Neurospora crassa OR74A: one gene and its partners. The protein of the gene in region 1 interacts with the protein of each later gene in a pairwise test. Links are inferred from orthologs where the notes say so. Each region holds a gene or a part of one and is shown in the gene's direction. Other genes may lie near its edges.

Region 1 (4,195 bases):
TACGTTGAAACTCAAGTCAATCATTTCGGCCTGGGCAATGAAGCTGGTATCGTCTTGTCGGAATCATCCCCCGTATACCGACTTGAGTCGCAAGCACTGCCAGGCAACAAGCACCTCAGCAAACTGCTCGGCAAGCCGAAGCCCATTTCGAGCAAGGATAAGGTCACCCTGGAAGCAGAATACATGCTGGCGCTCTCTGCCTGGAACGACGTTGGCCAGTGCTGGTGCGCTGGCATCTCAGCCAGCAGGGGGGCCGAGCTCGCCGTGGAGATGGCCAAACATGTCATTCCCCAAGCCATCGTCGTTGAGCACGTCCATCCGAACGCGACGAATGACCCTGGGTCCATGCCCAAAGACATTGAGATTTGGGGATACTATCCGGACGCGGACGACAACAAGCGACTCCTGGCTTGGATGGACGAGTTGTACCCTGGCGAGCGCGAAGCTGACATGAAGATGGTCGACGCAAACAACAAAAAATCGCTGTCCCTCATCAACAGAAAATACGTCAAGATCGGCGAGCTGGAGTACGACTATGCCAAGACCAGCGGTAGCCACGGCATGTTTGTCCACAAGCTGTCGGAGGAGTTGCTCGATCTGGATGCGGCGACGTACAAGGTGGTCGTCAGAGCCAAGACGAACCATGGAGCCCTGGATCATACATGCATTTACCGCCTGAAACTGTTTGGGGAGGAATTAGAGTACGAGGGCGAGGAATAACAGGATTGATAATGGGTATCTGGGCGACGGATCTTGAGCTACCGAATACGTATTGAAGGGAAAAGCAAGGAAATTGGGAATGGGGCAAGGCGTTTTGGTCCTTTTTTTTTTTTTTATCGCTTTCAACTTTGGGAAACGTACATATGGGTGGGTCTAGTGGGTTGGTTTTATTGCGGGTGTCTACCTACGAAGGAATCATGTGAGCGAGCGATACCCGTCTTCAAGCTCATTTTTTTCGTGGTTCAATACATTATGCTTTCATGATAGTTTGGCTCTTTTCATTGCTCAGGCACGGTGTTGATGTTCGAATGTTGCTGTTCTAAGTGAAACATGTAGATTGCTGAAGTTGTGGGCGCTGAGATAAAACCACTACAATTCGAATTTGGTTCGATGCAAAAGCTACTGTGAATTTTCTACTTCAGCCCCGTACAACTGCCCATCCAACCCATCATGAACCATAGCAACGACTTGAGAATGTCACTGGGGGCTGACAACTCGATGGTCGTCTGTCTGCTCGTATGACCCTAACCCTGGTCTGAGCTGGCCGCGAGTCCGAGACCCCTGCTGCAGATCCCCTCGCTTACAGTGGATGAGGTGGGTCGAGCTGGCAGAATTGCTCTCCGCCAAAAGTTTTCCCATTCGCATCGAACTGAAAGGCCACCAGCGACGACCCGCAGGCAATTGGATTCGCTCGACTAGCAGACCCGACCTTTGGAACTTCGTCGAACCCACCACGCCCAATTTCCAGCACGTTCAGACGATACAAACACAATGGCTCCAGGAGGCCCCAAAGGCCGCGGTGGCAAGGGCAAAGCCGAGAAGGAGAGGTCCAAAGCCAACAAGGCCGAACACAAGACGTTGAAGAGGAAAAGAGAGTTGGAGAACCTCGAGGCGCTTCAGAAGAGAATCGACGAACTTGTAAGTCCTAGTACTGAACCCCCGTTTCTCACCATACAACCGCACACGCTTCTAAATATTGTGTCTCAATCTACTAGGACCCCAAATCCACCGAACTCAACAAGTTCTCGGACCTTCCCCTTTGCGAACCTACCGCCTCTGGACTACGCGCATCCCATTTCGAGGTCCTAACCGATGTCCAACGCGCCGCCATCCCTCTCGCGCTCAAAGGGCAAGATATCCTCGGCGCTGCTAGGACAGGTAGCGGCAAGACCCTCGCCTTCCTTGTTCCCGTCCTCGAGAAGCTATACCGTGCACGATGGACTGAGTACGACGGTCTCGGTGCCCTCATTATCAGCCCGACCCGTGAATTGGCCGTCCAAATATTTGAAGTTCTCAGGAAGATTGGTCGCAACCACAGCTTTTCGGCAGGCTTGGTCATTGGTGGAAAGAGCTTGAAGGAGGAGGCGGAGCGTCTTGGGCGCATGAATATCCTCGTCTGCACACCTGGCCGTATGCTGCAGCATCTCGACCAAACGGCCGGCTTCGATGTCGACAACCTCCAGATGCTCGTGCTTGATGAGGCCGACCGCATCATGGACATGGGTTTCCAACAGGCCGTTGACGCTCTTGTTGAGCATCTTCCCAAGAGCAGGCAGACCCTGCTGTTTAGCGCCACACAAAGCAAGCGTGTCTCGGACCTTGCCCGGTTGAGCTTGAAGGACCCCGAATACGTCTCTGTTCACGAAGCCGCAGCATCGGCGACCCCCGTCGGCCTCCAACAGCATTACATCGTCACACCTCTCCCTGAGAAGCTCGACACGCTATGGGGCTTCCTACGAACGAACCTCAAGAGCAAGATTATTGTGTTTATGTCCTCCGGCAAGCAGGTCAGATTCGTCTACGAAAGTTTTAAGCGGATGCAGCCCGGTATTCCACTACTACATTTGCATGGTCGCCAAAAACAAATAGCACGTCTCGAGATCACGAACCGGTTCACGTCCGCGAAATACTCCTGCCTCTTCGCCACCGATGTCGTGGCCAGAGGTGTCGATTTCCCCGCCGTTGACTGGGTCATCCAGGTCGATTGCCCTGAAGATGCCGACACCTACATCCATCGCGTCGGCAGAACGGCGCGTTACGAGAGCAAGGGCCGCGCCGTCTTGTTCCTCGACCCCAGCGAAGAAGAGGGTTTCCTTAAGCGTCTCGAGCACAAGAAGGTGACCGTCCAGAAAGTGAACGTCAAAGAAAACAAGAAGAAGAGCATCAAGAACGAACTACAGTCACAGTGTTTCCAGTCACCCGATCTCAAATACCTCGGACAGAAGGCTTTCGTCTCGTACGTCCGTTCGATTTACCTGCAAAAGGATAAGGAGGTGTTCAAGTTCGACAAACTCGACCTCGACGGTTTTGCTTCCAGCCTGGGTCTCCCAGGTACTCCACAGATCAGATACCAGAAGGGCGAGGACGTCAAGAAGCTCAAGAATGCCTCGCGCGCCGCCATGTCCAGCGGGTCCGACACCGAAGGCTCGGACGGCGAGATCCGCAAGAAGAAGAAGGAGGTCAGGACAAAGTACGACAAGATGGCCGAGCGTCAAAACCAGGACGTCTTGTCGACGCATTACCGCAAGCTTCTCGGAGAAGATCAGGCAGAAGACAACGAGGAAGACGACTTCCTCTCGGTCAAGCGCGTGCTGGACGACGATGCCGCCCTCGACGACGCCGCCGGCAATGCCAAGTCCGGCACCAACCCCGACGGCACGGCCAAGGTGGTCAAGCTGGGCAAGAACGCCGAGTTGGTCATCGACTCGCACCGTCGCGAGAAGCTGCTCAAGTCCAAGAAGAAGCTGCTCAAGTACATGGAGAAGGGCCAGAAGCTTGTGTTTGACGACGAAGGAAACGCCCACCCGCTCTACCAGCTGCAAGACGAGGAGGACTTCCAGAAGGAGGGCGACGCCAAGGAGCTCAGGCAGAAGTTCGTCGAGAGCGAAGCCACCAAGGTCAAGGAGCAGGATGTCGAAGACAAGCTGCTGGCCAAGCAGCGGAGGAAGGAGAAGAGGGAGCGCGCCAAGGCAAGGGAGAGGGGAGAGGAGGTCGAGAGGGAGAAGGGTCCCCTGCAGCCGGCGCTGCTGGACGCGCACAGCGATGTGGAGGAGGATCCTTTGGCTTTGCTCAGAAGTTTGCCTGTTGCTGGCAAGGGCGGTGACAGCGGTGACGAGAGCGAGGACGATAGGGAACCGCCTAAGAAGAAGGCTAAGAAGTGGTTCCAGAAGGATGACTCGGATACGGAGTATAGCGATGACGGCAGGCCGAGGAGGAAGAAGGCTAAGATGGAGGGCGGCAGGAAGGTCATTGAGATGGATCATGAGCCGGATAACTTGCAGGATTTGGAGGCTTTGGCCGCTGGCTTGTTGGAGGATTGATGAGTTGGTTTTCAATGTTGGTGTTGGTGTGGGAAAAGGAGAGATATCGGGGTTCGTCATCCAATCATGGATGTTTACATACGTATTTTGCGATAGTTTTAGACTTGTTATGATACCTAAACCACGTATTTTGACAAAAGGGTCGGTCCCATGCC
Region 2 (3,550 bases), on another chromosome or scaffold:
TTGGCCTTCTTGTTGAGCTTGGGCGGATGAGAGGGCCTGGAGGTGGGCGGTATTTGCTGTTGCTGGCTATGGTGGTTGTTGATGTTATTGTTGTTGTTATTGTTGTACTGTCCTCGTCTTCCTCCTCGTGAGTAAGGTCCAGGACTCCTGGGGCGATAAAAGTCTGGGTGTGTGTTGTTGGTGTAGGTGTTGTTGTTGTTGCTATTGCTGTATTGTCTTACTCGTGAGTAGGGTCCGGGACTCCTGGAGCGATAGCAACCAGCGGGCTGAGGGACCTGAGGCCTGTTGTTGTTGTTGTTGTTGTTGTTGTTGGTGTTGGTATGGTAACTTCGTGTTCCTGCTCCCGAGTAGAACGGCGGCAGAGGTTGTTGCCAATGCGGTATGGTCGTTCCTGGGGCGAAGGTGTTGAGATGAGTAGGAGGGATGAAGCCATAGCCCATATTTGGGGGCGGCGCATATCCCATGCCATATTGCTCTTGCCGAGGATAGTGCTGTTGGTTTTGGTATTGGTATTGTTGTTGTTGTTGCTGCTGCTGAACAAACTCCCCCTGCCATATTGGCGGGTAACCCGGCTGGTAGCCGAAGTGATTGTGATCCATTTGGTCCACTGTTTGCTGTATTTGTGCCTTAAGACCGTCTTGAGGCTGTTGTTGTTGTCGTTGTAGTTTGTCCTGCTGCTGACCCAGCCTTTGACACCTTCTTTGCTCCTGCGTTTCGTTTCCGTTTTTGCTGCCCCTTTGACCCTTTCCAGCGGAAGCCACTCTGCCCTGTTCTCCAGCCGCCTGGTGAGACGGTTCTGAGGGGCCTGGTAATGTCTCGTTTGATTGTGCGGTTCCCTTCTTAGCCAGGTGTTGTACGCCAAACACAGAGCACAGTTTATCCGCCTCAAAACTGTCTTCAGCCGTATGAATGCACCTCGTCGAAGGTTGGTTGGCCAAGAACGGTTTGTATGTGTTGAAATATTTATTGCGAGGCAAGTAAGGCAATAATGGTGTAGTTGGCAATAGTTGCCAGTCCTTTGTGAGACGAAAGCGACCTGGTGTGTTGAATATTCGTAATCTGTTCATCATCATCCTTGAGATAAAAAGACGAGGCCGGTGCAAAAAGGTGCCGCTACGGACCACTTGGCTCCAAGGTGCTTGAAGTCGGCCCGGCTCGCATTCAGCTGTAGGCCACAGCTGTTGAGGAAGATGTGCGGTAATAAATATCCAATAAGCCGTGTTCCTGGACCTCCAAACAACTCAGTGAATGAGATGTCACACTTTTATCAAGAAGTGATGTTGTACGCCTGTTTGCGGCCTCTGTGCTTTTCAGGGGACGGGCAAAATATCGGTTAGGAATCTAGCCAATCATACATTGAGAAAACCCGTCAAAGCGGGGCAATGTTGCTTCACTCGCAGGCGGCAGAACTTTCAACGCCAATTCGACAACCAACTACATACACATATCCATGTGACTTCACTCATACCTTTTCTTCACCCGCTGCTGTTTGTTCCCTCGTAAAAGGGTAACCATCTCAAATCAAACGCACAACAAAGTTGTCACTGCCACCAGAGACAGGATAGAACTTATAAAGGACGAAATTGTGGACCCGAAAAGAGTAAGAAATGCCTGCGGTCAAGCGAAAAGCTGCCCCTACGCTGGGTGCTAAGCTCCAGAGACGTGTTCGTCCGAGATTTGAAGCCGAGCCCGACTCGGATGTGGAGGGGAGCTCAGATGAGGCCCCTAGTGAGGAAGAAGGCGGCGGCTTTCACACAGGCAGCGACACCGAGGAGGAGGAGGAGGATGAAGAGATTGAGGAGGGCAGTGAACCAGGCAGTGACGATGTAAGGGTTTTTGTTTTTTTTCTGTTTTCTTCAAATGGGCACAAAAAAACAATACTATCATTTTTTTTTTTAAAAAAAAAAAAAAAAAAAAAAAAAAAAAAAAAAAAAAAAAAAAAAAAAAACTACGACTAATGCTCAATAACAGGACTCCGACGCACCCTCAGAGCACGGCGGCGCCGGCATCGACGCCTCGCAGCTCTCATTCGGTGCTCTCGCCCGAGCCCAAGCCTCTCTCGGCGCACTGAAGAAAAAGAAGAAGAAGAAGGGCGGCGATGAGGACGGCTCCGATGACGATGAAGAGAAAGAAGAGCCCAACTGGAAGACCGAGATCGAAAAGGGCATGAAGGCCAAGGTCGAGAAGCACCACCGCACCAACAAGCACGCGCCCGTCGAGACGACCTCCAAAAAACCCGTTTCTCGGCGTCGCGACTTTCTCGCCAACGAGCCCGCCAAGCCCAAATCCCGGGACCCACGGTTCGCGCCCCCCGGCATCGGCGGCAGCTCCGGTAAAAGCGTAGTAGATGAGATCAAGGCGCGCAAAGCCTACTCGTTCCTGGACGACTACCAGGAGGACGAGATGAAGCAGCTGCGGATGGCCATCAAGAAGACGAAAGATGCCAACGAAAAGGAGGAGCTGCAGCGGGCGCTCCTGTCGATGGAGAGCAAGAAGAAGGCGCGCGCCCGCAAGGATAAGGAGCGCGAGCTGTTGTCGGAGCACAAGAAGAAGGAGAAGGAGCTCATCAAGCAGGGCAAGACGCCCTTCTACTTGAAGAAGTCAGAGCAGAAGAAGCAGTTGCTTGTGGAGCAGTTCGCGAGCATGAAGAAGAGCCAGGTCGATAAGGCGATTGAGCGCAAGAGGAAGAAGATTGCAGGCAAGGAGAAGAAGGCGTTGCCGTTGGCGAGACGGACGGCTGAGGATAGGTAAACGAAGGGGAAGAGTGGATTATTGCTTGCTTGAAACACTGGGGGTATACTATAAATGGCTGCATGGGAGACATACCTAGGTATCAAGGACTGATAGATGAAGCAGGCGCGCAAAAGGTTGGAATGGTAATATTCACAAATATTGTTACAAATCACCCCACAAGTGCTGGCTATGCTTTTTGAGGTGATCTTACTCGGTAGATTCCCTATAACAGAGAACATTCGGCCGAGATGTACAGGAAAGAAGAAAGAATCACTTGCAGAAACTCTGGTCTAACCCTCCAAATCTATCCCTACCAGCCCGACTTCCAGCCACAGTAGTATCATACATACACCTCACTCACTTCTTCCCGAAATACTCCGTCTTCTCCAAAGCCTTCTCAAACATCTCCCTACACCTGACCCTACTCCCCAGCCTCGCGCACAACAAAAACGCCCCACTGAGCTTCCTGTGCAAGCTATACGTCTCTTCCGGCGGCGGTGCCAGCCTCTCATGGATCATGACGGGGATCTGCGCTTTGACCCTCTCCGTAATCGTCTGATCTCTGAAATCATACACTTCCGGCGCACTCTGCAGGAACGGCTCAGCCAGTGTAACGACACTAGTGATATGCGCCTCCAGCATCGCTCTACTCTCATGACCCGTCAGATACCCCAGCTCTTCAGAGAGGGACTTGACCGCGGGGCGATCACCCCGCGACGCGGCTTCGAGCAGGCGGATATACAGCGAGATGAACTCCTCCGGGTATTCTCGGCTAGCGCCAAAGTCGAGCAGCTCCAGCCGTTGTTTTTCGGGGTTG
Region 3 (4,289 bases), on another chromosome or scaffold:
AACAACGGAACCGGCAGAGGACGAGCTGTTTGGAGTGTTGAGAGAGTTTGTCCCAAGCTGTCTGCTTCTGAACAAGCTACTGGGTTCAAAGCCGCCTTCTCCAGACAAGCCTAACGAGTAACCGCAGACCTCCATCTTGGCGGTGAGCCCTCGCTCCTCGGGTCCCAACATGGAGCCATCCTTGGTTGTCAAGTAAAAGACCCATATACATCGCCGGGTGGTATCGACGTGGACGAGGTGGCCATCCCGGCGCAAGGCATCCTCGACGACTTGTGGCTGGAAGGTGTAAGAGGCTGTGTTGGCGGCAACGGGTTCGTAAACGCGAAAAGAAATGGCGGAAAGATTATTCTGCAGGAGAGACGCGTGAGTTAGGGGGGGGGAGTGGGAGGCGGTGGTCCGAGGACGGGACAGGCCAGCATACAATTAGCAAGGTATTGGTATCATAGTCGCCAGTGTCCATATCTGAAATAGAGATGCCTTTGGAGGCGGAGTCGCAGAAGTCGTAGTGACCATGCACCGGGCGCGAAGGCGTGTTAGCGGAGTGGGATGAGGGCGCATGTAGGCCGGCGACGGCGGCCTGAGGGACGGTGTGATGGCGTGTTGGGATGAAAGTCTACTGTGGCGACGCTCAGAAGTGGAAGCTGTGGAAGCCGAACTTCAAACAGCATGGATGATGAACTCGGTAGTTGTCTTGAGCTGTACGTCGTTGGGATGCTGGACTCCATGGCAGCAAGGCCCCTGTCCATACAGCGCGAACCGTCGCGGATCACCGACCATGCGCCCACGAGGTCATTTGCGGGTTCGGGACCTGGGAGATGGGACGGAGTGAGGAGCTGTAAGGCGGGAGGGGGATGCGATGGGATGACGGGATGCGATATTACTGTAGGTTAGTGTCGTGGGACTGAAGGATGGTGGACATCGGTTCAGGTAGGTAGGTAGTTGGCGGTCCGGTGGTAGTAACGAATACGGTGACGGCGGGCAGTAATCGTGACTTCACAGCCGCCATCGAGGTGGCCGACTCGAATCAAAAGGAATTCGGTCCAGTAAAGTCCATTGCAGTCAGTTGGGTTCCAGGTCGGCGGGATGCCCTGCCCGCCGATGCGACAGGCGAACAGCCACGCAGGCAGTTAGGTTCGGATCAGCGACGGGGGAGGACCCACACTACCTCTAGAGGTATCCACAGCTGAAAGGACCCTGCTGCCAAGCACAATCCAGGCCTGCCACCTCACCTACCTAGAGGCACCCGGCCTAGGTACTGCAATGACCTGCTGACGGCGACGCCCGCCTACCAGAATTCAAAGGTCCACCACGGGCAGTCCTCCCGTCCCGCTTCCTCTTCAAGCCGCCTTATCGCCCTACTACCTTTCGCTTTATCGCCGGTGGCTCTCCGCCTTCCTTATTTGGCGACCATGGCACTTCTCTGAACTTTTTGCAGATTTTCTGCCGCAAAAAGTTCAGATACGGGTTAGGGTTGTTCTCCAAAACTTCCCATTCAGCAGATAGTAGCAGTTGAAGCTTTCTCTGCTTTCTCAACATCTTCCATCCTTGCCCCATCCCTCATCACCAACAAAACCACCCATCATGAAATTGACAAATCCCGGCGCGGTGCCAGTGTACGTCTATTTGCCATTGGAAAAGAGAGATCCGCTGTGAAATGCTAACCATCATCGCAGATACACCGTATCTGGGCCGTCGACTGCGAGACCCCTTCCAGAATGGCTTGCCCGCCGCAGAAAGAGATCGGCCAAGTACGAGCCCGAAGAACTCAACAACTTCGAGCTCCTCCAGAACTTCGACTTCGAGGAGGCCAGCAACTGCGTCCGTGTCAGTGAAGATGGCAACTGGATCATGAGCTCCGGTACCTACAAGCCCCAGTTCCACGTCCACAACACACAGGAACTGTCGCTGTCTTTCGCTCGCCACACCAAATCCGAAAACACCACCTTCATTATGCTCAGCCAAGATTACACCAAGAGCGTACACCTCCAATCCGACCGTTCGATCGAATTCCATACCCCCATGGGATGTCACTACGAAGTCAGACTCCCGCGCTTCGGCAGAGACCTTGCATATCTCCGTCAAAGTACAGAAGTGCTCATTCCCTCTGTCGGTTTGAGTGCGGATGGTTCTGGTATGGGCGAGGTTTTCCGCCTCGATCTGGAGCGCGGCCAGTTCCTGAGGCCATGGCAGGTGGATGTGGGTGAAGATGAGCCCGGTGCTGGTCTTCAGGGAAGCATCAACGTCGGAGCTGTTAATGTCGCGGCCGTCGCCGAGTCCACACACGGTCTTTGCGCCTTCGGAACGACCGTCGGCACAGTCGAGTTCTACGATCCCCGTAGCAGGAACCGCGTTGCTGTATTGGGCGGCCAAGAGGGCGAAATCACTGCGTTGGATTACAGCAGAGACGGTCTCTCTCTTGCGCTCGGAACAGGCACGGGTATTGTTCAAGTTTTCGATCTGAGAAACCCTCGCCCGCTTATGCGGAAGGACCAGGGCATGGGTCTTCCCATCAAGAACATCATCCACTTGACGACTCCTACCGAGGAAAAGAAGCTTCTCACGGCCGATAAGAGAATCATCAAGCTCTGGGACGAACAGAGTGGCGACCTCTGGACCTCAATCGAGCCGACCGTTGACATTAATCATGTGGCGCATGTCCCCGATTCCGGCATGCTATTGACGGCAAACGAGGGCAAGCAGATGCACAGTTTCTTTATTCCCAACCTTGGCCTGGCTCCCAGGTGGTGCCATTTCCTCGACAACATGGTCCACGAAATGGAGAACGAGAAGCGTGTCGACACATACGACAACTACAAGTTCCTTACGATACCCGAACTCAAGCAGCTCAGCTTGGCTCACTTGGTTGGCAAGACCAACCTGTTGCGTCCTTATATGCACGGTTACTTTGTACATTCCAAGTTGTACGACCAGGCTCGTCTCATTGCCAATCCGTATGTCTGGGAAGAGGAGCGGGCCAAGCGCGTCAAGGAGAAGGTTGAGAAGGCTCGCGAGAGCCGTATCAGAGGTGTCAAGAAGGTCAAGGTCAACCAGAAGCTGGTTGACAAGATTGTTGATCGTTCCGACAAGAAGAAGATTGCCGCTGGCGTCTTGGGCGATTCTCGTTTCGGCAAGCTGTTCGAGGATGAGGAGTTCAAGGTCGATGAGACGTCCAGGGAGTTCAGAGCCCTCAACCCCAGCACCCAGGTTGGCGGACAAGATGTCGCAGTACAGCATGTCAAGGACGACTCTTCAGTTACCAGCAACAGTGACGATGAGAGCGATCCGGAAAGCGAGGTCGAAAGCAAGAAAAAGAAGAGCAAGAAGAGCAAGGATGACGTGGTCATGCAGGTCTCGTCGTCCAAGATTGCGGGCGGCAAGGCGAAGGATACGGCATTCGGCCAAAGAGCTCCAAGGACCGGGCGCGTCACTAAGACCCGAACGGACGTGGTCGGAGAGCAGAAGATTACGTTCGTGCCCGAGTCCAAGAAGAAGAAGCAGGCTGAACCCGAGGCTGCACCAACACGGAAGAGACATGATGGGAGGCGAAGTGCAAGCACGAACACCTTTAGACGACTGTAAAACGCCAGAAGCTTATTGGTCCAACCCTATATACTATACATGTGAAAAAGTCATGGTATCTTTCATGTCAACTCCTCCAGGCCGTGGTGAACCGGCCAAGAACATCATTGCCGTCCACGGCACACATTTCTTTCCGAATACGAGTCGCAAAGCAATAGGCTCGCGCGACCAGCGATACCCAAAATATACCCCAAGCTTGCCATTTTCGTCATCAAATGGTTCATTATATCTCAACTCGTGCTGTCTGATTTTCTCTTGCGCCACACCGGCTCACTTCCGACTGAAGTTGATGCGTGTCTTTCCTGACTTCTCCGGCTTCCCCATGCCCTTTTCCAAATCCAGATGCTCGGGTTTGATGCGCGGGGTGGGTGGCACATCATCGATCCTTACACGGCCTTTATGTTGGGATCTGGTTGATCGGAAAGATCCCTTGACCGATCTGGGGAACTCGCTGCGTCGTGGGGTCAAAGCCGTGACGACCCTCTTTGCCGACTTTCGAATGGTCTCCCTGACCTTCCACTCATTTTTCTTTGCCAGGAAGAAGAGAACTGCGCTACCGACTGTTGGAGGGAGGGTCAATATCATGTCCGGTCAGTGCAGTATTGCTGATGGGCGAGAAAGACTTACCACCGAAGATGGTGACGACACAAACAACCACAATGATGGCGATCAGACCACCTTGAGATAGCCCGACGTCGTTTGATGACGTC

What was found.
Region 2: the proteins of NCU04439 (region 1) and NCU03824 interact in binary tests that used the Saccharomyces cerevisiae proteins (3 or more experiments, as listed by UniProt). The link is inferred for Neurospora crassa OR74A from reciprocal best matches to the Saccharomyces cerevisiae genes HCA4 and RRP36.
Region 3: the proteins of NCU04439 (region 1) and NCU03961 interact in binary tests that used the Saccharomyces cerevisiae proteins (3 or more experiments, as listed by UniProt). The link is inferred for Neurospora crassa OR74A from reciprocal best matches to the Saccharomyces cerevisiae genes HCA4 and ENP2.

What each region holds. Positions count from the first base shown.
Region 1 is NC_026504.1:3,354,632-3,358,826, forward strand, and holds NCU04439 (ATP-dependent RNA helicase dbp-4), read left to right. Parts: upstream 1-1,370; 5' UTR 1,371-1,491; coding exon 1,492-1,638; intron 1,639-1,715; coding exon 1,716-4,040; 3' UTR 4,041-4,175; downstream 4,176-4,195. Other genes in the region: NCU04440 (hypothetical protein), read left to right, coding at 1-720. UniProt on the Saccharomyces cerevisiae protein: ATP-dependent RNA helicase required for ribosome biogenesis. Involved in the release of U14 snoRNA in pre-ribosomal complexes. Required for pre-rRNA cleavage at site A2.
Region 2 is NC_026505.1:2,530,897-2,534,446, reverse strand, and holds NCU03824 (hypothetical protein), read left to right. Parts: upstream 1-1,432; 5' UTR 1,433-1,607; coding exon 1,608-1,826; intron 1,827-1,971; coding exon 1,972-2,751; 3' UTR 2,752-3,029; downstream 3,030-3,550. Other genes in the region: NCU03825 (hypothetical protein), read right to left, coding at 1-1,073; stk-25 (ABC1 protein), read right to left, coding at 3,091-3,550.
Region 3 is NC_026506.1:2,245,937-2,250,225, reverse strand, and holds NCU03961 (WD repeat protein), read left to right. Parts: upstream 1-1,474; 5' UTR 1,475-1,581; coding exon 1,582-1,613; intron 1,614-1,673; coding exon 1,674-3,579; 3' UTR 3,580-3,849; downstream 3,850-4,289. Other genes in the region: NCU03962 (hypothetical protein), read right to left, coding at 1-348, 422-460; NCU03960 (hypothetical protein), read right to left, coding at 3,850-4,139, 4,207-4,289. UniProt on the Saccharomyces cerevisiae protein: May be involved in rRNA-processing and ribosome biosynthesis.